3 linked regions of the Solanum lycopersicum genome follow. The protein of the gene in region 1 binds, or shares a complex with, the protein of each later gene. Links are inferred from orthologs where the notes say so. Each region holds a gene or a part of one and is shown on either strand. Other genes may lie near its edges.

What was found.
Region 2: MED18 (region 1) and mediator of RNA polymerase II transcription subunit 9 share a complex: the UniProt entries of both Arabidopsis thaliana proteins name them as parts of the mediator complex. The link is inferred for Solanum lycopersicum from reciprocal best matches to the Arabidopsis thaliana genes AT2G22370 and MED9.
Region 3: MED18 (region 1) and mediator of RNA polymerase II transcription subunit 32 share a complex: the UniProt entries of both Arabidopsis thaliana proteins name them as parts of the mediator complex. The link is inferred for Solanum lycopersicum from reciprocal best matches to the Arabidopsis thaliana genes AT2G22370 and MED32.

The regions. Positions count from the first base shown.
Region 1 is NC_090805.1:1,886,344-1,893,319, forward strand, and holds the start of MED18 (mediator of RNA polymerase II transcription subunit 18), read right to left. Parts: upstream 4,513-6,976; 5' UTR 4,119-4,512; intron 3,939-4,118; exon of another isoform or gene 3,865-3,938; intron 3,129-3,864; 5' UTR 3,107-3,128; coding exon 3,071-3,106; intron 2,905-3,070; coding exon 2,805-2,904; intron 838-2,804; coding exon 780-837; intron 699-779; coding exon 342-698; intron 236-341; coding exon 136-235; 3' UTR 1-135. Other genes in the region: ZNHIT (zinc finger HIT-type containing protein), read left to right, coding at 5,249-5,322, 6,330-6,361, 6,482-6,544. UniProt on the Arabidopsis thaliana protein: Component of the Mediator complex, a coactivator involved in the regulated transcription of nearly all RNA polymerase II-dependent genes.
Region 2 is NC_090801.1:55,597,785-55,604,760, forward strand, and holds the start of mediator of RNA polymerase II transcription subunit 9, read left to right. Parts: upstream 1-2,331; 5' UTR 2,332-2,652; intron 2,653-3,747; 5' UTR 3,748-3,788; coding exon 3,789-4,145; intron 4,146-4,252; coding exon 4,253-4,315; intron 4,316-4,397; coding exon 4,398-4,478; intron 4,479-4,862; coding exon 4,863-4,921; intron 4,922-5,061; coding exon 5,062-5,119; 3' UTR 5,120-5,142; exon of another isoform or gene 5,143-5,430; intron 5,431-6,681; 3' UTR 6,682-6,976. UniProt on the Arabidopsis thaliana protein: Component of the Mediator complex, a coactivator involved in the regulated transcription of nearly all RNA polymerase II-dependent genes.
Region 3 is NC_090807.1:64,219,904-64,226,708, reverse strand, and holds mediator of RNA polymerase II transcription subunit 32, read left to right. Parts: upstream 1-985; 5' UTR 986-1,131; intron 1,132-1,133; exon of another isoform or gene 1,134-1,262; intron 1,263-1,516; 5' UTR 1,517-1,559; coding exon 1,560-2,000; intron 2,001-2,546; exon of another isoform or gene 2,547-2,562; 3' UTR 2,563-2,929; downstream 2,930-6,805. Other genes in the region: uncharacterized protein, read right to left, coding at 4,397-5,394, 5,989-6,233. UniProt on the Arabidopsis thaliana protein: Component of the Mediator complex, a coactivator involved in the regulated transcription of nearly all RNA polymerase II-dependent genes.

The sequences.
Region 1 (6,976 bases):
GGTATTTAACGTCAATTACAGAAGGACAAACATTGAAGTTATTGGGAAGGAGAATGGCGAAATACGTCTCATTCTTCAGCTATGATAACTGCAACAGAGATTTAAGACAGAAATGGTACTGAGTAATTTTTCCATTCACTTTGTGCCTCCACCATCAGACATCAGAGATGCAGCAGCTGCAGCTGCAGTAGGAACAACCCCTGTTGAGACACCGGGTTTTGACAAATGAAGGAGCCTGAAAACAAAAGAAACCATTTGTATGTTTTACTAGACCATCATATACAATACCAGGTACGACTAGCCAATTCTTATGGATAACAAACCAAGATAAAGATGCTTACGGTGCAAGATATTCACAGAAGGACGTTACAGATGCAACAACTTCATTGTAATTTTCAGATGAAGCTGGTGCAGTCACTTCAACTAGCTGTATGCCTGGAGTCACAGGCACTGCATCATCGATAGCATGAGGTTTCAACATCTTGTTGATGGATGAAACTGTTACAGTTATCTGGGCACCTCTTTGGAAATGAAATGCAAAACCAACTCTCAGCTGCTCATGGTCTAGCTTGTAGCCAAGTGAATAAAATAAGCGTAATGCATTCTTGCTTATTTTGCTTTCTTGCATTGGTCTCACCAACACTGAGATTTGTTCAGCACCAGCACCTCTCATTGGACCACCAACATGCCTAACAGTCCTATGTTTAATCACATAAAAAAAAAACTTAGGCTTCAAGTGTCCCAATAGATAGGGGCTCAGGACAAACCAGATCTCTTACCATGCAGGTTCTGGCTGCTCAAGATCACATAAGAGCCGTATTTCTGATGCTACTAAGCCTGAGAATGGTAAGCAACAGACCACACGGTTAAAATAACCCAAAGACAAAGAGCAGGAAAGGAGAAAAGAAAAAATCGTGAGAAGGCATAAATGATTTTTAGACAAGATATGATATGTGATTGGAGTATAAACAGTTGATCATGCACGCAATATTTGGTCCATTTTATATCTCTCAATTAGGTGAAAATCAGATATCAATTTGAGTCCACACTTTTGCTCATTTTGTTTAGGTGATGTCGCATGACATGCTAGAAAGCAGTTCGAGAGGATTTGGGCTGTAAACAACTCAAAGATTAGGTGCTCAGGCACCTCACGGTGTTGAAATAGCTCCGAAACAACTTGAAGTACACAATTGTGCAACCTGAGAACCAACATTTTGCAAACACAAGGGAGTGAGTGTGCCTTGCACGCCCTGCTGCTAATTGCACACTACCTAGTGAATGAGAACTGTAAGTGCACAATTTCGGAATTCCAAGTGGTTTGAACCCTAACCTCTCAAGTCCTAAATACTCGTCCTAAGCTAGGATACTTGAGTTTTTGCACGACCCGTGACAGCATAGAGGTGGGAAGAGAGATCCAACACTAGAATTAGAGCTCAAAGGAAGAGATTGACGGTTTGAGGAGTTTTTCTTCTCATATTTTACTCTCATTATAATTTTTGTGATTTTAATACTTCATTATTTGGATTGACCGCTATTATAAAGTAACTTTCTGCTAGTTAGATTTAGATGGATATCATAATTTAACTCTTATAAATTAATTCTCTAACTACAATTATTAATTTGATTCAAACCATTTGTTCTGCAATTCAAACTTCTGATCTAGAGAGGTCACTGGACTCCATTATTTTCCCAATTACGTTTGAATGATCATAGTTTGCTTTTTTTCCTTGTCTAACCAAGAGGAGAAATCAGTCTTCAACATACTTTATGAATTGTGATGATGATATGACAAATGCGTAGACAACCACAAGGGGTCAACATATATTTGTGGGAGCCAAGGTTAATTAATCAACCGTCTTCCATATTTAAGGTATAATAATACCTTGACTATTATAATAAAAAGAAATACACTTAGCCAAGAAGGTTATAGTAGTTAGATGTAATCGAGATATACACCAGTGATTTGGAAGGTGATTAGCTGAAGGTGCTCTGAATTTAAGGTTTTCTATTTCCTTAGATATTACTACAAGCGAGAGGAATAATCAATGTTGAGTGTAATAGAGAGAGGCACTTATAACTTAGAGATCAATATTGATTGGTGGACAGTGAACACCATACACTAATCATAAGTGAAGTCTAGATTCAACTCCTTCTGATTAGAACAAAAAAGTCTATATTCAACTCGTTTAATGAACTGATGGATACTCTTTCACCATCATTCATGTCATAGAACTCTTATTTATATTTCATTTTAGTCAAAAACATTCCGCCTGCTTATCTGATTACTCGAATAGTAATTGAGCAACACTAATTAGGATAGCAGAAACTCAATCCTTGTGGGATCAACATCTGCCATACTATCTTTAACAGGAAACAAGCATTGTTTTAATACTCCGACGTTACCCTCATCAACATGTCAAAGAATCACATGTACATCATCGCAGAGAATCACATCTGTATCATCGACAAAACCATGATAGGCAACACTTTGTTGAAAACAAGGCACTCAACAGTCAACAAGTGAATGAGCAAAAACCATGTGGTCTCGACCTATAAATTAGATGTACTGAAAGTGAATCATACTTGAACCTAATTCCATTCAATAATTGACATGCAGCACCACAGTACAACTAGAATAAGATGGACCATAAAAAAATTATCAGCTATGTACAAACTCAAAGGTGAGAAAACCTCCCTACGAATGCATAGATGGTTGTGAGCATTTGCCTCAGCCACATCAGTACATACATGACCATTGGGTTAGTTCCTAGTTCCATAATAGTTCAAAGAGAAAATACACTTACCTAGGTTAGGGACACTTTTAAGGCACAGTTCATGAATCCTTAAGCTTTGTTTATGTACACCACAAAGCCCTTGAAGCAGAATTTCCAGGGCCTCGACATGCTGCAAGTATGATTAGCACTGTCAAGATCTTTTCAATAATCAATTGCCAAAAACTGTTTCAGTAAATGCCGTAGTATACCTTTTACAAGTAGCATACCTTCTAAAAGATTGAATAAGAAAAAAACGAGAAATAGGGGGAGGTTTTATCATTACTCCAGGAACTTACTTGAGTCTCAATAATTCCCTGAACCACACACTCCATTCGCACTTCAATTTATTCAAACCTACATGCAAAGAACTCTTTAGAACATACCTATGAACCAAAAAGATATTAAGTTTAACAGAAGAGTAACAACGAAAAAGCTAACACCTAACCAAAATCATAACAAAGTTGACACTCTTTGTATGAGAAGTGCATTGCTTGAAGATTAATGGATCTTAATATGAATTTAGTTTTGGATTGAGGCTTAAAGTTTTTGCCCGGATTGCCCCTATTTTGGGGTGGTCTTCAATTATTGCCTTTTCCATCCATAATTAGAAATTTAAGCATTTGGTCATTACTTGTCTTTTGGTACACCCAAATTCTCACCAAGATTTTAAGCATGAAACTTCTAATGATCCAATATGCACCAAAAACTGTCAAACTTGCTCCTTTCATTAGGCTATGACCAAACAACCTTAAGTTTTACTAAGTTTCTTCAAAGAAATAGGTAGTAGTGCTGGAATGGTATCAAGTTTTATCAATGAAGTCACTCCACCATGGGTGATTCTTTTCATGTGGAAAATTAGTCACTTGGACACATAGCTTAACTCCTGTTTGGCAAATATTTTCTACATACGTACAACAACATATATACATTCTATCCTCCCCATAGTCCACTTGTGGGATTTCACAAGGTATGTTGTTGTCATTGTTATATGATGGAGCATGTGCTCAGCAAAAACAACGAATGACTACAAAAATGGAGGAAAGAAAGAGAAAATGGAAAAGGAGAAGAATGGGTGAAGAAAAGACAATACCTTGGACTATATGGTATATGTTGCCTTTGGTTTTTTTCGACTATTTTGGCATCAAAATATGATTTTTCTAGTGCCTGTACAATTTGATCTTTGTTTAACATATCTTTATTGTTATACATCTGTTTTTTCAAAGTTTCTACATCAAACTCCAAATTTTATCATCTATACACACTATTGTATGACATATAAAACACAATCATTTAGCATTGTAGAACTAAACATAAAACATCAGAGCAAAAAATTGAAAGAATTACCTTGAACAGTTGAAGCAATCTCACTTTTTCCCCCAATCTGAGCTGCAAAAATTCAATTAAAAAAAATAGTTCGAAAGCTTAAACAGGCAGACCTAAATTAATCACATAACAAAAAATCAACGATAACAACGAGCCAAAGAAAAAAAAATTCTAGCTAGAAATCTAGGTTTCTATATCAAACAAGGTCCAATTGTAACAAAAAATCCAGTTTTCTACATCAAACAAGGTCCAATTGTAACAAAAAAATCTAGGTTTCTACATCAAACAAGGTCCAATTAATCACATAACAAAAAATCAACAGTAAAAACGAGCCAAAGAGAGATTTTTTCTAGCAAGAAAAATATGTTTCTACGATCAATTGTAAAATTAAGGTTTAGTAATGCAAGCTATGGCTGAGAGAAACCAAAACAATTAGCAGTAACAGAGATAATATGGTGATTTAGTGCTCAATGAAGTGGTCGAAAATATCAAAAAAGTCGAAACTCAAGACATAGGGTTGGAATAATACCTATTGCGAAAAGTGACAAGTATCTCGTAGAATCAATTGAAAATATTAGCGGATTCTTTTCATACGAGTGGATAAATGTCTGTTACGAAAATTTGATTAGTATCTTATATAATTAATTAAAAAATATTAATGGATTCTTTCTATAGGAATGGATAAAATAATTTGATACCTTATACGAAAAATTGATTATTACGAAATTCTTTGATAAAATGATTTTGATACCTTTTACGAAAATTGATAACACGAAATTCTTTCTATATGAATGGATAAAATAATTTGATACTTTTTACGAAAATTAATTATTGCAAAATTCTTTCTATATAAATGAATAAAATGATTTGATTCCTTTTACGAAAAATGATTATTATAGAAAGTGACGAGTATCTCGTAGAATTATTAGAGAAAAGTGGTACTTAGCAGAAGAGAAAATGGTTTGAAAATTTTGGACCCGAATTCGAGTTTAGGCCCATAATTAATTAAGCGACTCAAAGTATAATTTGATAAAATTGTAAGAACCCGATTGAATCTAAACTCAAAATTCAGGGACCAATATTGCAATTTTACATTCCACCTCTTCCAGAAAAAACCCTAAAACCTCGATAACGAAGAAGAAGAAGAAATAATGGGATCGAAAAAATGTCAAGTATGTGATGAAGCACAGTCGAGATACAAGTGTCCCAATTGCTTCATCCCCTTGTAATTATATTTCCATCTTTTTTCATTCTTTGAAATTTATTTGAATTTTAATTCTGGGTTTTGAGTTTGTTTTTAGTTTAAACTGAAGGGGAATGGATATAGATTATTCATACAAAATTCAGAGTAAAAATTTTTATATGTAGAAAAACATCATAATTGTAGCAAATAGAGATATGAATTTGTTGATAAGAAACTTAGGTTTCGTTTGGTAACTAGTTAGAATTATGCAGTTATTTTTTATGTCCGGCATAAAATAATATATAAATTTCTTCGTAGCTTATATATGTATTAGTCATGTAGCTTTCTAAATTGCGGACTTTTATACATTGAAATCATTGCAAAGAACCTTAGGTGTCGTTTGGGAGCCGGTTAGAATTATGCAACTGTCAGTTATCTATCTTATGTCAGGCATAGAATAAATACACAAATTTTTCTCATAACTTATATTTGTATTAGTTATATGCGGATTTCTAAAGTGCATATTTTTATACATAAATTTGTCGCAAAGAACCTTAGGTGTGTTAGGTAGCTGGTTAGAATTATTAGCTGTTTGTTATCTATCTTATGCCTGGCATAAAATAATGCATAAATTTCTCATAACTAAGGTGAATTTCTAAATTGCAGACTTTTATACATGAATTCGTTGCAAAGAACTTTGAAGTGTCGTTTGGTAGCTGGTTAGGATTATGGAGTTGTTAGTTATCTATCTTATGCCTGCGGATTTCTAAATTGCAGACTTTCTTTACATGAATAATTTACTTCTTTAACTAAATACGAAGCGCTGTATAATTAAGTTGCCTCTGTACTAGCTATCAAACGATAGCTAAAGGTTGAACTCATAAAACTTAAGTATTGGATTCCCTGTGAATTCAGTGAACTCAATTTGTTTAGTATTGAGGGTGTAACAGTATTAGTATTTATTGGGTTGTAATTTATGGGTTATGTTACTGGAGATTTGAGTATTGATAAACCTAAAAGTTCTTTTTTTGGTTGTTTTGATCTTGCAGTTGTTCTTTGGTCTGTTTCAAGAAGCATAAAGGTATGTTCTTTATGAACATATTATGTGAATCTAACTATTCTTATGGGTTATACTTGTGGTTTGTGTATTTTATAGTGATAAAAATTGGTCTTTTCATGAGCTTATCTGTGGGTTATGCAGAAATTCCATGCGGGAAACCAGAACCGGAACCCGAATCAGAACCACTTTCTGAGGAAAAACTTGGTAAGGATGGCTTCTCTAATAAAACGGTTGAACTTTTTTTCTTGTTGTATTTTTGTATAACCATTATAAGAATGTGAATGATATGCTTATATTTTTTCTCACTAACTGTAGTTTAAGTTTATTGTCTTCGTTAGTATCTTTTGTTGTCACTTAGCTATCCTTTTTGTCGGTGATGGTACGTTATGTTCAATAACCATTTGCATTTATGGTGATAACTTTGATACCTGACAAGACGTCTCTTTGATGAATGAGTTTCCGGAGAAATCCAAAAGAAAAAAAAGAAGGCAGTCCAGTGCATGAAGCACCCCGTGTTCATGTAGGGTTCAAGGAAGGGCTGCACCCAAGGGGTTAAGTGTAGGCGGCCTAACTTGATGCGGGCATCATTGTTAATTTCATGACTCAAACCCATGACATATAGGTTACATAGAAACA
Region 2 (6,976 bases), on another chromosome or scaffold:
TTGCTTATGAAAACTATAAATGATTAGAAGGTGTGAGCGTACATGATTTGCCTTTTGCGCAACAGAAAGAAGTTGGAGATTAATTATTTTTATCTTTTTCTTAACCAATTAAATTATTAGATTTTTGGGTCAATCTAATATCGAAGTGACCAAAATATTGATTATGTCTTGTATTTGAGTTTCATTCTACATTATTTGAAGGGGAAGTCTCCAAAAAATGTCGCTTCTAGCATATTTAATTGAGAAGAAACTATTTAAATTAATAATATTTTAAATTAAAATTATATGAAAAATGAATGAAAAAGACGGTCAAATTAAAAGATTTTGCATAATTCTTAACTCAATTAAGAAAAAGTTCGCGATAATATTCTTGGCATATATAAGAATAACAATTAGGAAGGGACGGCTTATTTTTTGAGGGATATATCAATTAAGGATGAAAATTATTTACTTTAAAATACTTTAAGGATGTTTTATGATAAGAATATACTTTAAGGCTGTAATTTGAGTTTGAGGTATAGTTTAATGATGATTTTGGCTAAAATTTCAAAATAATTAATCTCCAACCTTTTTCAATTACGGAAAAGGCGAATCATGTACGCTCACACCTTTCAATCATTTTTAATTTCCATAAGCAACAATGTCTAAGATTTTTTATATTTTTCAAGAACTTCTTGTAGAAAATAATGAAATTATACATAATAACTTTTGTTGATAGTCGCGTTAACTGCTCATGTTTTTGTAAGATCCCTTAGTTTTTGACAATATCTAACAAAAGGATGAAAGTTGTTCACTTACAAATACTTAAAGGATGTTTTCTGCTAAAAATGATACTTTAAGAATGTAGCTTAAATTTGGGGTATAGATAAATGATGTTTTATGCTAAAAATAATAATTTAAGGATGTAGTTTAGATTTCGGGTATAGTTAAAAAATGTTTTTGGCCAAATTATACCCTATATATAAATAAAATGCTATATAATATTGCGATATATAATTAATTGAACACCTATGACAAAGTCTATTGGTCTGCTGGTAAGCATGTTCATTTACGTGCAAGAGGTCCTCAGTTGCAACATGTTTTTTAAAACATAAAACACACTCTCTTTTCAATTATGTGTAAGAGATCTGTATTAAGTGACTTATTAGGTATACACATTCTCAAGATTTTATTTTAAAGAAAAAATTAAAGATTATTATTTATTATTATACTTTTGAGTATTTCTAAAGTATCTTTCTATTTAGAAAAAGTAAAATAGTTAAGAATTTGAAAATAGGAGAAAAAAACTCATCATAATCGTGAAAGTCACTCTCAAAAGGCTCATCATAGCCCTTTTTGTGACTCGACTCAAGCTCATCATACATTATTCGATATTTGAACTATTCAGTTATTTAAATTACAAAAAACACTCGACAATTTATTTCATATGAACTAGAGGGAGTATATTTCAAGCAAAAATTATTTTGTGACTTTTGTCCATTAGTTTTGATTTATTCCATCGATAGTTTTATCATTTTAAATTTCCGCAAGATTTAGTTACTAAGTGATGTGTAATTTAATTTCTCACACATTTGCAAAAATAAATTTTGTGTACCCACTTCGCTAAAAAAATTATCGACTCTTTTAAAGTTTGAACAACCTCGGCGAAATTTCTGGCTCCGCCACTATTTGGCGAGTAACATACTCATCATACACTTTCTTGGATATATCGCGTTAATTCATTCATCATCAAGATAAATGATTTTGATCTAAAAGTTGATGTCTGGTGCAACCTCTTCATAGTGGAAAAGTGCTTTTTTTTCTTCTAGGTCTTGACTCCTTCATACATGTCCTTGATCTTCTAAATATACGTCATAGAGTCTGGCATTAATACATACATTTTATGAACCCTAAACACCCAAAGGGACCTCCAAAAAAATTTGGTGTGTGTTTTATAGAGGGTCCCTTTTAGTGTTTAGGGTTTAAAAAGTGTCCGTTTTGATATCAGACTTCTACATACCTCCAATTTCCAAACATCTCCAAAAAACCTCCTTCAAGACTCTGTCTAAAAAACTTTCCAATCAATGAACATCATATGCAAGTTTTTCTATTTGACTGTACTTATTTATCAATCTCTTTATAATGACTTTTGAATACATGTGAAACATGCTTAGATATCAAGTGTATAGAATAAATTATATCTAATTTTGACTCATATGTATCTATTTTGTAAAGTTCTAAGAGAAAATATAATTAGAAAGTATAGTTTCAACCGATAAATAACACAAATGTAAATGTGTGTTTTGTGTTGTTTCCTCTTAATTTAAATACAATTCATTCAAATTTGAATGCACTAGTGATCTACTTTTTTATTAGTTCAATCTATTTCAGTTTGTTAAAATATTAGTTCATATATAAATCAAATCGGTTAATGAAAAGTGAGTTTTATGTATTTTGAATTAGTATTTTAATTATTAAAAATTATCTATTTTTTTTTAATACATACTAAATTTTATACTATAGAAAATGTTAAAATTTCTAAATTAGCTTGTTTGCTCTTGAAATCGAAACCTCCCCACAAATTGGGACAGCGGGAGTAATTTCAATTTTGCTATTTGAAAAAACAGAGGATTTTCCGTTGGGGTTTAACCGGATCGGGCCTTTTCATCTCCGGTAATCTTTCTCGTTTTGTAATTCTCATCGTACTTCTGCTTTGTTATTAACTGTACTAGTTGTGGTTTCAGTAAAGTTTAGCTTCGTATAGTTGTGAATTCATTCTCTTGTGGCGGCTTAAATCAAGGGTTTGGTTGTCAGTGTTATAGCAAACGAAGATTCTGTTCAGAAGATTTAGAGTTCTTTTTTGTTGGAAATTTTGAGGTTGTGATTTTGACCTAAAACTGTTAATTTCATAGATAGAGAGATATTTGTATGTTAGTAATAGGGAACCTCTAGGGTTATGAAAACCTAAATTATTGAATATTGGAATAGATGGGGTTCTAATGGAGAGAATTCATATAGTAAACCCAAACTAATTCGGGATTGAGGCATACTTCTTGATTACTGAGCTAAATTAGAGATAAAGAGTAAGAGGTGCAGTTGGGATTGATTCATTTCTCACTTTAATAACTATCTAATTTTACAGTTTTAGGTTTTGTAAACTTTTTTAGTGCATACTAATAACTATCTACCCTTTTGGTTTGCTTGGGATTGCTAGCTCCTTAGCTTTAGTTTAGGATACTTGTATGAGTGCTGAGATTTTTTTTATGCCCTTCCGAATTAGAGCTAAGCGGTCGCATATTTTGTAATCTGGCATCTACCCGATGCCCATTCAAGGATAATTTTTAACCTTATCAAAAAGACATAGTTGCAGCAGTAATTTTTTCCGATGTACCTATTGATTTAACAATGTGAACACCAAATTTATACAGATGTCATGGTAGTTTTTACTTGGAGATAAGAGTTTACTGTTTGTTAAATTTCAAAGAAGAGTTTACTGTTTGTTACGAGGGATGGGCTTCAGTTTTAGAGGGTCTCACTTGATGGCTTTGTTCTCTTTGGTACAAAAGAACTATTCTTGTAATAAGATGTGGATGAAATGTCATTTAGGAATGATGGGAAATATATTTTTGAAGTGGTTTGTACATTTCAGAATCTTAGGAATTATTTCTCTTTGCTACTCAGTCCATTAGGCCAGTTCATGCTTTGATAGTTTTGGCTATTTGTGTAGTACTTGATTACATCTGATGACATTAATTTTATCCATTTTAGAACCAAAGTACCAACAGATTTCAGCTCAACAGCCATTAGTTATGGACCACTTTGGAGGAGGAAGTTGGACAATGATCCCCAACATCCAAACTCACAGTAATCCTTCGACACCCTCCAATCAAGACAATTTATTTCTTCAGCAACAGCAATTTCAACAACAACAGTTCATTCAACCGCAGCTCTATCAGCAACAACAGCAGCAGCAGCAGCAACAACAACAACGGTATCAACAACAGATGCAACAGCAACAAATGCAGCAGCAGCAACAGATGCAGCAGCAGCAAATGCAGCAACAACAACAACAGCAGCAGCAAATGCAGCAACAACAACAACAGCAGCAGCAGCAACAACAACAACAGCACCACCAATCACTTGCCTCTCACTTCCATCTTTTACAAGTATTGGGCAAAAACCATGATCTGTAGCTTGCTATTTTAATAGAGTAACGAGACATTTCTCTTTCCTAGTGAGACCTTTTGTTCTAACTTTTATTGTCATCTTACAGCTGGTGGAGAATTTAGCTGATACAATTGAAAATGGAAATCGAGATCAGCACTCAGATGCATTGGTTTGTTCATTTCTTGATTGATGCATTATATGTTAGTTTTCCATTTCTTCTACATTAAACCGGGTGTATTTTTCCTCACCAGGTAACTGAATTGAAAAATCAGTTTGAGAAGTGCCAGCAGCTGTTGACATCAATATCAGGGTCTATTAGCTCAAGATCTATGGTATTTCATTTTCACACATATCCTTTGATTTCTGTTGTAACTTGTTCTGAACACACCCCCAACTCAAAAAATAAAAAGAAAAAAGAGAGAGACTCCAACAAAGAGTTAAGCGCAATAATATGAAAACAGAACTTCAAAATTATTCTTTTCTGGAAGAGTTGGATTGTTTTTCTTTTGGCAGTGTTATTGCTTTTAATTGTGCTTTTCCATTTGGGCCTGTTTGTTCAACTTATAGTTGTGAAGAATTTTACTGAAAAGTGGGGTTCAATATGTTTGAAACGATGTTGACTTGAACAAAGTTGCTCCACAAATTCTTATTTGGTTGCATGTTTTGATGCTTAAATATGGGTAAGATAATTGACCAGTCCTGTGTTCTTTGGACAGACAGTTGAGGGACAAAAGCGCAAAAAGGCAGAGTGCGAACAAATGCTAAATCAGCGAAGGTTTGTATTATATATATATAAAACACACACACACACACATATATATATGTGTGTGTGTGTGTGTTTCTAATATTGTCTACTGAAATTTGTATAATTATTATTTGCTTCATCTGATGGTCATGTTTCATGCTTAATTACAGGGATCTTATTTCGAGGTACAAAGGCTCAGTTGAGGAGATTATTAACTCTGAACTATAGCTCATACTCGCATTTTAACCAAGGTAAAATTATGCGCTGCAAGTTGTTTTTGGCCTGCCCAAAAGAAGTTGAGTTGAATCACCTGTCATTTTGATTTTACTAGATGCAAGTGAAACAACTATGCAGTGTTCTGGATGCAGTCAATTTGTAGTTTGTTGTAATACATGAGAATAAAGTGCTCATGAGAAATTTTTATTGATGTTACTGTTGTAATCACTATGGCGCTCGCCACAAATGACTGCTCTGACTGTACTGAGAACATAAAATGTTTTGGGCCAAGGTTATGATAAAGTAATGCATTGCCTTCTTAACTGACTGATTGTATTTAAATCTAATTACATCAAAGTGAAGCAAATAATTGAAGTAACGGTGCTACCCGGGCTCTAGTCAGGCACCTGGATAGCTGATTGTTCAGTTTAATACTTGACTAGAAATAGTCTAAGCATTTAAAGTAATTTAAGTAGCCTGGAGAGTTGATCTTTCCATATATGGACTTTGAGGGCATCCGGGAGTGATCTATGTTACATATCACGTACATCGAGAACTTCCCGAAGACATGGCTTTAGAAAAATGTATGTTTGCCTAAGTTGTTGGGAGATTTGATTTGCTTAAAGATTAATATTTTTGTTACCTTATGTATTTTTTTGAGTTGAATTCAATGCTACATAGAATTCAAATCAGCATTAGGAACTTCACAAATAAGTTGGACATCGCTAGCTATCGAAATATCTAAGTTATTATTTGCATCATTCATAATCTATTCTCAGAAATCGTTAAATATTCATTTAAAGTGCACTTTAACTCTGAAGCTAGGTGAAGTCCGAGTTGGGCGCTTTGCCTTGCTTAATTGACACCTTGGCTCAGGCATCAAGTAGCTAAATAGTGTCCTTGTCATTTTTAGGAAGTTAGACTATAGAGTAAATGTCAACTTAGTTGACGGATTGATACAAAATGCTGTTTTATATATTCTTAATCGTTACGAATAAGAAACTAGAAATTAGAAATACGAAACTAGAAAAGAAGAATAGTTAGTGAAGACTTACAACTGAATTACATCCAAATTAGAAATTCAGTTTCACTTAATCATAGTAGTTCTGTTAAGTTTTCTATCCAAATGATTAGTGTAGTATTATTTTTTGTGTAGTTATTTTTCCTTGCTCTACATATATATTTTTAATATTATTCATCAGTGTTTTTCTTTGCATATGACCTCACTTAAGCTTTTCCTCTCAAGTCCCAACAGATTTTGGTGCTTTTCTACGCGTTTCACCTATAATATCTCTCGATAGTTTCAAATGGAGTATTCCTCTAGTAGCTGGCTCAAATTCTTATTTCAGGATATATTTTGTAATCCATGCTGGATCTGCATACCATCTACTGAAGTAAAACATCTTGAGTCACTAAAATTCCTCTATGCTGGTTCTGAGATCTTGCCATTTTTCTGTTTATATATGTGACAGAACTTGGCTAAAGTGAAATATGAAACATTATCAACAATGATATGACGAAACTTTATTGAACATCTGAATTTTCCCATCTGATGAAACTTTTTCTTGGCACAGGTAAAACACACTAGCAAACTTCTCCGAGCATTAGCATCATCATTGTCATGAGGAATTTGCAGAAGAACATTAAATTCGAGCTAGCGATGATGAATCCTCGAGACTCCATCATCAGATATGTCTTTATCATGTATTTCCTACAAAACCTATTTAGTGTTTTAACCTTGTTTGGATGCAAATGATTGCATCTTCCGCCATTTATTTCTATGAGACTAGACATCTAGAACTGTTTCCTTTTTTGACCTGTTGACTGCCTTAGCTCTATTACAATCATCAAACCTTAATTGGAGTTTGC
Region 3 (6,805 bases), on another chromosome or scaffold:
ATGTGTAATACACTCGTTGATGACGTGGCAAACAATCAATTAAATAATTACATGTATTATTTTCAGTTAAAAATAATTATAAAATCTATTTAGTAAAAAAATTTAAAATATTATTCTACGAAAATTTCTTATTTCATTACACTCAAATCTCTTTTGTGCTTTACAAAAAAATATTATTTTCTTTTACTATTTTTCATATTTATTCTTCTTTTTAGTATTGTTTTTCTTTAAAAAAAGAAAGGAGGGAGAGAATAAACATGAAATATGGGTGTTGGTATCCATTTTTCCGGCAAAAAATAGAGTGAGGTGAAGATAGACTTAGATAAGTAATACAATGATGAAGAAGAAAATGACTTAACAACGAATTTGAATAAAAAATTTGACCTCCATTGAAGGAATTTAAATTCGAAAAAAAAGGGGGTGGTGGCTTGGAGAAGAAGAAGATAAAATAAAATTAAAAATGGCTAAATTAAGTCTTTCACGCGCTATTGTTAAGTGTATCACACTCACTTTGACATGTCAGCAAAAAGTGCCAAAATGACACAACAGAACCCTACACGAGGTGTCTAAAATGAACATCGCCTAATTTAGGTGTTCTAAGTGAAAATCGATAGCAAGTTTAGGAGGTCACCGATGAATTTGACAAGTTTGAGCAATTAAACAAAATATTTAATTTAAACATTAATGTAAAATTAATTTTATTCATCACATATAATATAATTACTCATCAATAATATATAACACTAACAAATGAAAAAAAATATATGTCTCATTTTAATGTACATAGAACACTTAATATATAATACTAATGATGAAAATACAAATAAAATAAAAATTAAGATACATAAATAATACTACTCCTTTAGTCCAATAAAATAGCACTCGTATATATATAAATAATTATTAGAAACTCAAACAATTATTACTCAATTATGATTTTATTCAAATATATTTTAAAAATCTTACACTCTAAAATATTAATTTTGAAACTAAAGGGAAGCTTTGTGTTACAAATGAAAACTATTGGGGAGGAATATGTAATTATTTCGAAACAGAGTGAGGGGAGAAGAGAAAAAAACCAAAAAAAGACAGAGGAGAAGATTGTGGAAGCCATTTTCTTCCTTCAGTCAAGTAAGTAGAAAAACCCTAGTCTTTGTGGTTTTTCTTCTTTTCATTTGCTTAAATTTATTTGAGTATTTTCAAGAAATTTGTGTATTGCATCAATTTTGTTTCAGTTGATTTCTTGCTTTTGAGTGTTTTGGGTAATCATAGAAAATTGTTTCTTGGGTTTGTTTTTGTATGCAGAATTTGATAGCATAATAGCTCTTTAATTGTTGTACAAAGATTCAATTTTTAATGATGAAATTACTACAAAGATTCAATTTTTAGTGATGGTCTTGCTAAAGATTCAATTTTAATGATGTTGTTGCTATAAAGATTCAATTTTTAATGATGGTCTTGATACAAAGATTAAATTTTTAATGATGTTCTTGCTAATTTATTCTCTCCTTTATAGATTTACGGAGGTTAGTGATCAATTAGGGCTTCGAGGGGTTGTGATGGATAATCTCGTAGATGCACTGAGCAGTGCATATCAAGACTTTGTTGCAGCATCAGCTGTTGTACTTGAATCAAAGGAGAGTTCTAATGGTCAGAAAACAGCAGCAACTGATGCTGCATTAGAAAACTTTAAGCAAAAGTGGGAGTTGTTCAGGGTTGCGTGTGATCAGGCGGAGGAGTTTGTGGAATCGGTTAAGCAAAGAATTGGCTCCGAGTGTCTTGTGGATGAGGCTACAGGCACTGTTTCAGGGAAGCCTGGGCAACCAGCTGCAAGTGGCCTTCAACCCATTAGTGCTGTTAGGTTGGAGCAGATGAGTAAAGCTGTAAGATGGCTAGTGATAGAACTGCAACATGGTTCTGGAGCGAATAGTGCTTCAGCAGTACATCCCAATCCTTCTGCTCCATTTGATGCCAGATTTTCTGAAGATGCAGCTCAATAGGTATACTGAAATCTCGCTGATACTTCCTGTCCTTGTCGTTTCCGTTGACTATGTTAAATAATCTGGAAACAAATTTGTATTATTTAATGAACTATTAGTGATAGGCTTTGTATCCTAGACTTGATGATGAAGCAAATAAGTGAACATTCCCTTGGAACTGAAACTGATTCATATATAAGAGCTGCTATTACAAAACCGCTGGTCTTGTATAAATTTCCAGGTTGATAGAAAAGTAGTAGAAGCTAACAAAACTGCTTTTTAGTGGCATCATATGTTCTCTTCCATCAGAACGAATAACTGTGAGTAACCACTAGTTTCTGCAGCAATTATGTTATATGTACTATCCTTACTTTATTTATGAAGAATACTATCCTTACTTATTAAGCTAAGTTTGACCCAACTTCTTTTTTTATGATCAATTATGTACTATCCTTACTTATTAAGCTGAGTTTGACCCAACACTTCTGACAGACAAATGGAAACTAGAAAAAAAAAATTGGTTTCGTTTTATTCTGTTTTCATCGCTGTAAAACAAAGAACTATTAGTTGTGACTGTTTTCAGGTAACTACAGAGTCTGGTGATCAGCAGAGAGAAACAGAAGATCTTATGTGCCTTAGTAAGCCGCTAAAGTTGATGTTTGATGTATGAAGTCATGTTGTAACGATGTAGAAGAAATACTTTGGAATGATATTTGTAAACCACCTTTACCGCCTCCCTCCCTCGCCATCTTATGAGAAGATCTGGCAAATTTACATTTGTGTTTTCTAGGCACAGAGATTTACTTTTATCGCAGTATGAGCTACTGCACTGTTAGCTTTATTTAGATCTTAAGCATACCAACATATACAAACAGGCTGTATGTTTGTGTCTGCTATGTGTACCTTATATTCTCGAGTATTTATGTTTATAATCGATTTTTGTTAGGAAATATATCTCCAATCTTGTAAAGTGGCTTTTTAGTTAATTGTGTTAACCCTGATGAACTCATTCAGTAGGCTTTGGAGACCTCTGGAATTGTTGCAACAGAGTATTATGACGCTTTGAGTGTAGCAGTATTAGTAAATACGCTTTAGCTTACAACTACATCTTGATTGCTACACAAATGCTCAGTATCCATGTCGCTCCATTTAACCTTATCTCAGTCTAATATTTAGTTGTACTGTATAATAACTTTGAAAACAGAAGTTCTCACTTGTCACTGCACTTGGAAACGTCTTTGTCCAATAACGCAAACTAATACTAGTAAATGAGAGATCTATGATGTAAAAGTTCTGATGGTTATTGAGAATCGTCTGAAGGGATGACAAGCAGAGGCTACTCTATAAAGCTATATATATCAGAAAAAACAACGCTCTTTTCATTAATTTTATGCAGACCCAAGAAGAAATGGGTTTTGAGGCAACATACAATGCTTAAGAGCATCTTTTGAGATAAATTCCATGCAAATATACACAATTTGTTGCTTTCATCTGGATATACAGGGTGGTGAAGAGAGCATGTGCGATAACAATGGCACAACTAGGCGAGTAGTTACCATGAACAGCACAAGCACTTTATGTTCAAAAGTCATAACTGATCCTATGAGCAATAGATTGAATATTGAGTAGCAGCCTCAAACATACTGTGTAACAACCAACGCTACAAGCAATAGATCGTGAGCAACCGCCTCAAATAAACAATCCCTTTACTGGTGAAATCACTTTTTTGCAAAACTAAGCTATTATGGTCTAAGAAAGCAAAGCTCTTAATCATAAGATGCTCTATTGGTCCCAAGCTCCACATAGGGTTGCTAATTGGGTGGAGTCTTCCCACAGCAATGTGGACAAAAATCTATCACATGGTCAGCAGTCCTACTGTTCAGGAAGAACATAAACCACTCAGTAGTTGTACCTTCTTCTAACAGGACTCTGCTGGCAGAATTCTGGTCATTCTTCTTGCTTACATCTTCTTTCGTCAAAACTCGTTTTTTTCCCAGTCTTCAAGTCATTCAGAGCTTCAGTTCTTCAACCAGCTCTGATGTGAATCAGGGAGCCTAAAGAGCCCTGGACGAACATTTGACATCTTATCTTTAAGCTGATAGGCCACTAGTGATACCAGAATTTTCATCAGCAGCACCTATCCTCATAAGCTTTTCGACTTCAGATGCTTCAGCCATATTTACCAGAGAGGATTATACTGCCTTGGTTCTGGATGAAATTGCGTAGTCTATTCTATTTTCAACACTGTAATCCAGGATGATGTCTAGATCTGTGGAGTTCCTACATACATACATCATTCTGCTGGTTATTCAAGCATTGATCTAGAGAAGACTCAGCTGCAGCTACACAGAAGCTGTGGTTGCTCGTCCATCGTTGTTGCACAGTCAGCTTTATTCCAGATCCATCTTGAAAACCGTCTAAATTTGCAATAATGCATCTGCGGAAGGAATATTGTTCGTCGTATCCAGCTCCTCATCAATCATGACATCTCCGTTCTCGTCAAACACATTGGCTGATGTAATCCCATCAAGAGAAAACAATTGACTCGCACAAGCGGAGATGGATACTGGGCTGGTTTGCATCTCAACAGAAGGATGTTCCACAGCAGAACCTATATCTGTGCGCGTGCCATTTTGAGTAGCTACCCGATCAATCTTGCCACCACTCAAATTACATGTGGCAGAACTTGGATGCTGGAGCTCAGTCAGATCATTTTCCACATTGACTAATGTGTGTGTTCTATTGCTTGCTGTCACCACATCAGGTTTGGCTGTAGTAAGCTGAAGAGCTTGTCGCTTCGACTGGCCACTTCCAGGACCAAGTTGAGCATTCAACTGCGTCTGCACCCAGACAGCTAGAGAAAGTGCATGATCACGAATCAAAGAATCATGAGGTGGGCAGTGTAACATATCGACCAGAGCCTGCATATACTGGAACATACTGACGGATGGAGTATTAGACCCTTTGTCACGTAGACATTTAATGCTTTTAAGAATATGCTCGCATAAGTTTCCCATTTTCGCCCAATTACAATCACAAAGTGCATATTCGGAAGCTGGATTCCAAACAACATGCACTTTATGTCGATCTTCCTGATCAACAACTTTTGAATAATCACCCTCAATTAACACATCTGAATCTGGAATCTGCAAAGATTTCTGCCAAGCTGTTAAGCCACTCATCCATTCATCCTTCCAGTATCGTGCGAAATCATCCTTCCCTGAGTACTCATCAAGCCAGAAGTAAGAATGCACTGTAGTACCTAGCTTATCTACTAACCAATCAGCACGTTGATATACACATTTTTCCTTCTCATTCAATAACCTAAGCTTTAATTGGTTGTGATAGTATTCCATTGACGAGCACATCTCCTGGCTGGCAAGAGGAAGACTTCTCAGTGCACTAGTCCAGAGCCCTGAGTAATCAAAATCCGTCAGCAAGAAAAGCCCCAAAGAGGAACCAACTAATTTATAAAAGTATTTCAAGCATTCTTGAAGAATAATGTGTTTTTCAAAACTAAAAGAATAAGGTCTTTAGTACAAAAACTAGGCTAGCATGTCCTTTTCAAGTGAGGACACATAAACGTGAAAGATTGCATGTATGGAGTTCCTCAATCTATAATAATTTAAATGCATAACAACTGAGAAATTGTTATGTAATTGAAAATATGACGGAGTTTTTGGACTTCATGACACCCAATCATAACAACATACCCAGTGACCTCATCTTTTATGAAACAGAGCTAATCCCGGGATCCAAAAAAAGACTAACATTTACCACACAGATGTGTGAAGCATCTTTTTTTTTTTTGCAAGGTATGTGAAATGTTGCACAATGTGGACATAGGGAGTGTTAGTTTAAATTCATGCTAGGCCTGGATCTAAATCAGATTATCCATGTGTCAATTGAGTAAGCAGAAAACCTGTTTCAGAGGTGTACTTCAATCTAATTGCAATAACAATCCTATTGGTACCTACAGAGACTGTTTTACTGAATAGTAAAAACTCACCTAGTCTTGGGTACCATATGGCCTTGAAATAGTCCAAAAAATCTGCAGCATCCACAAATTCTTCCATAAATTCTTCAAACAAATCAGCAGTTCCATCCCCTTTGCAGATGCGCTGCACTGCCTGGCCTAGCCTCTTTGCAATTACAGCACAGGTCTCCAGTTCCGAGCATTTCTTAATCAAGTTCTTATGCCATGCATGACGAACCCGCCAAAAGCATATCAATACAGAGCACTGGAACACTTCCCTGAATAATAAGCAAACAAAGATTTAATACACCATGCATGCAAGAAAAGTCAAGAAGGTGAAGTAGATGACTAGAGGGCACAATTTTAATCTGTGCAATCTAGTATACAAAATATATACTCTACAGAACCTCAACTCATGAGTGACTGAGAAAGCACAAAAAGAAAAACTAAGTGACATGCCTAACATTCAGATAAACCTTCCACACACTGAATGAGCAAAGTATGCAAGTTCCATCATTCAATTTAAAATTTATTACTCTCACCATCCCAATTTATGTGATGTAATTTGATGATGCAAGGAGTTAAGAAATATGGCAAGACTTTGCAAGGTTTCAAAACTAACCTTAATATAAATGCATTTCTAGATAGAAAAGTACATCTTTGTGGAGTTGTAGCCAAATAAGTGGGACTCAACATGGGTAAAATGTTAATAGTGTCATTATATATTTACCAAATAAGGAAATATGTCATTCTTTTATTCTTCATTAGTTCAAAATATTCAGACCGATCCAACAGAACAACATTGAAATTGCCAGCCTATTTTACATGCATTCATCTACTAATATCATCA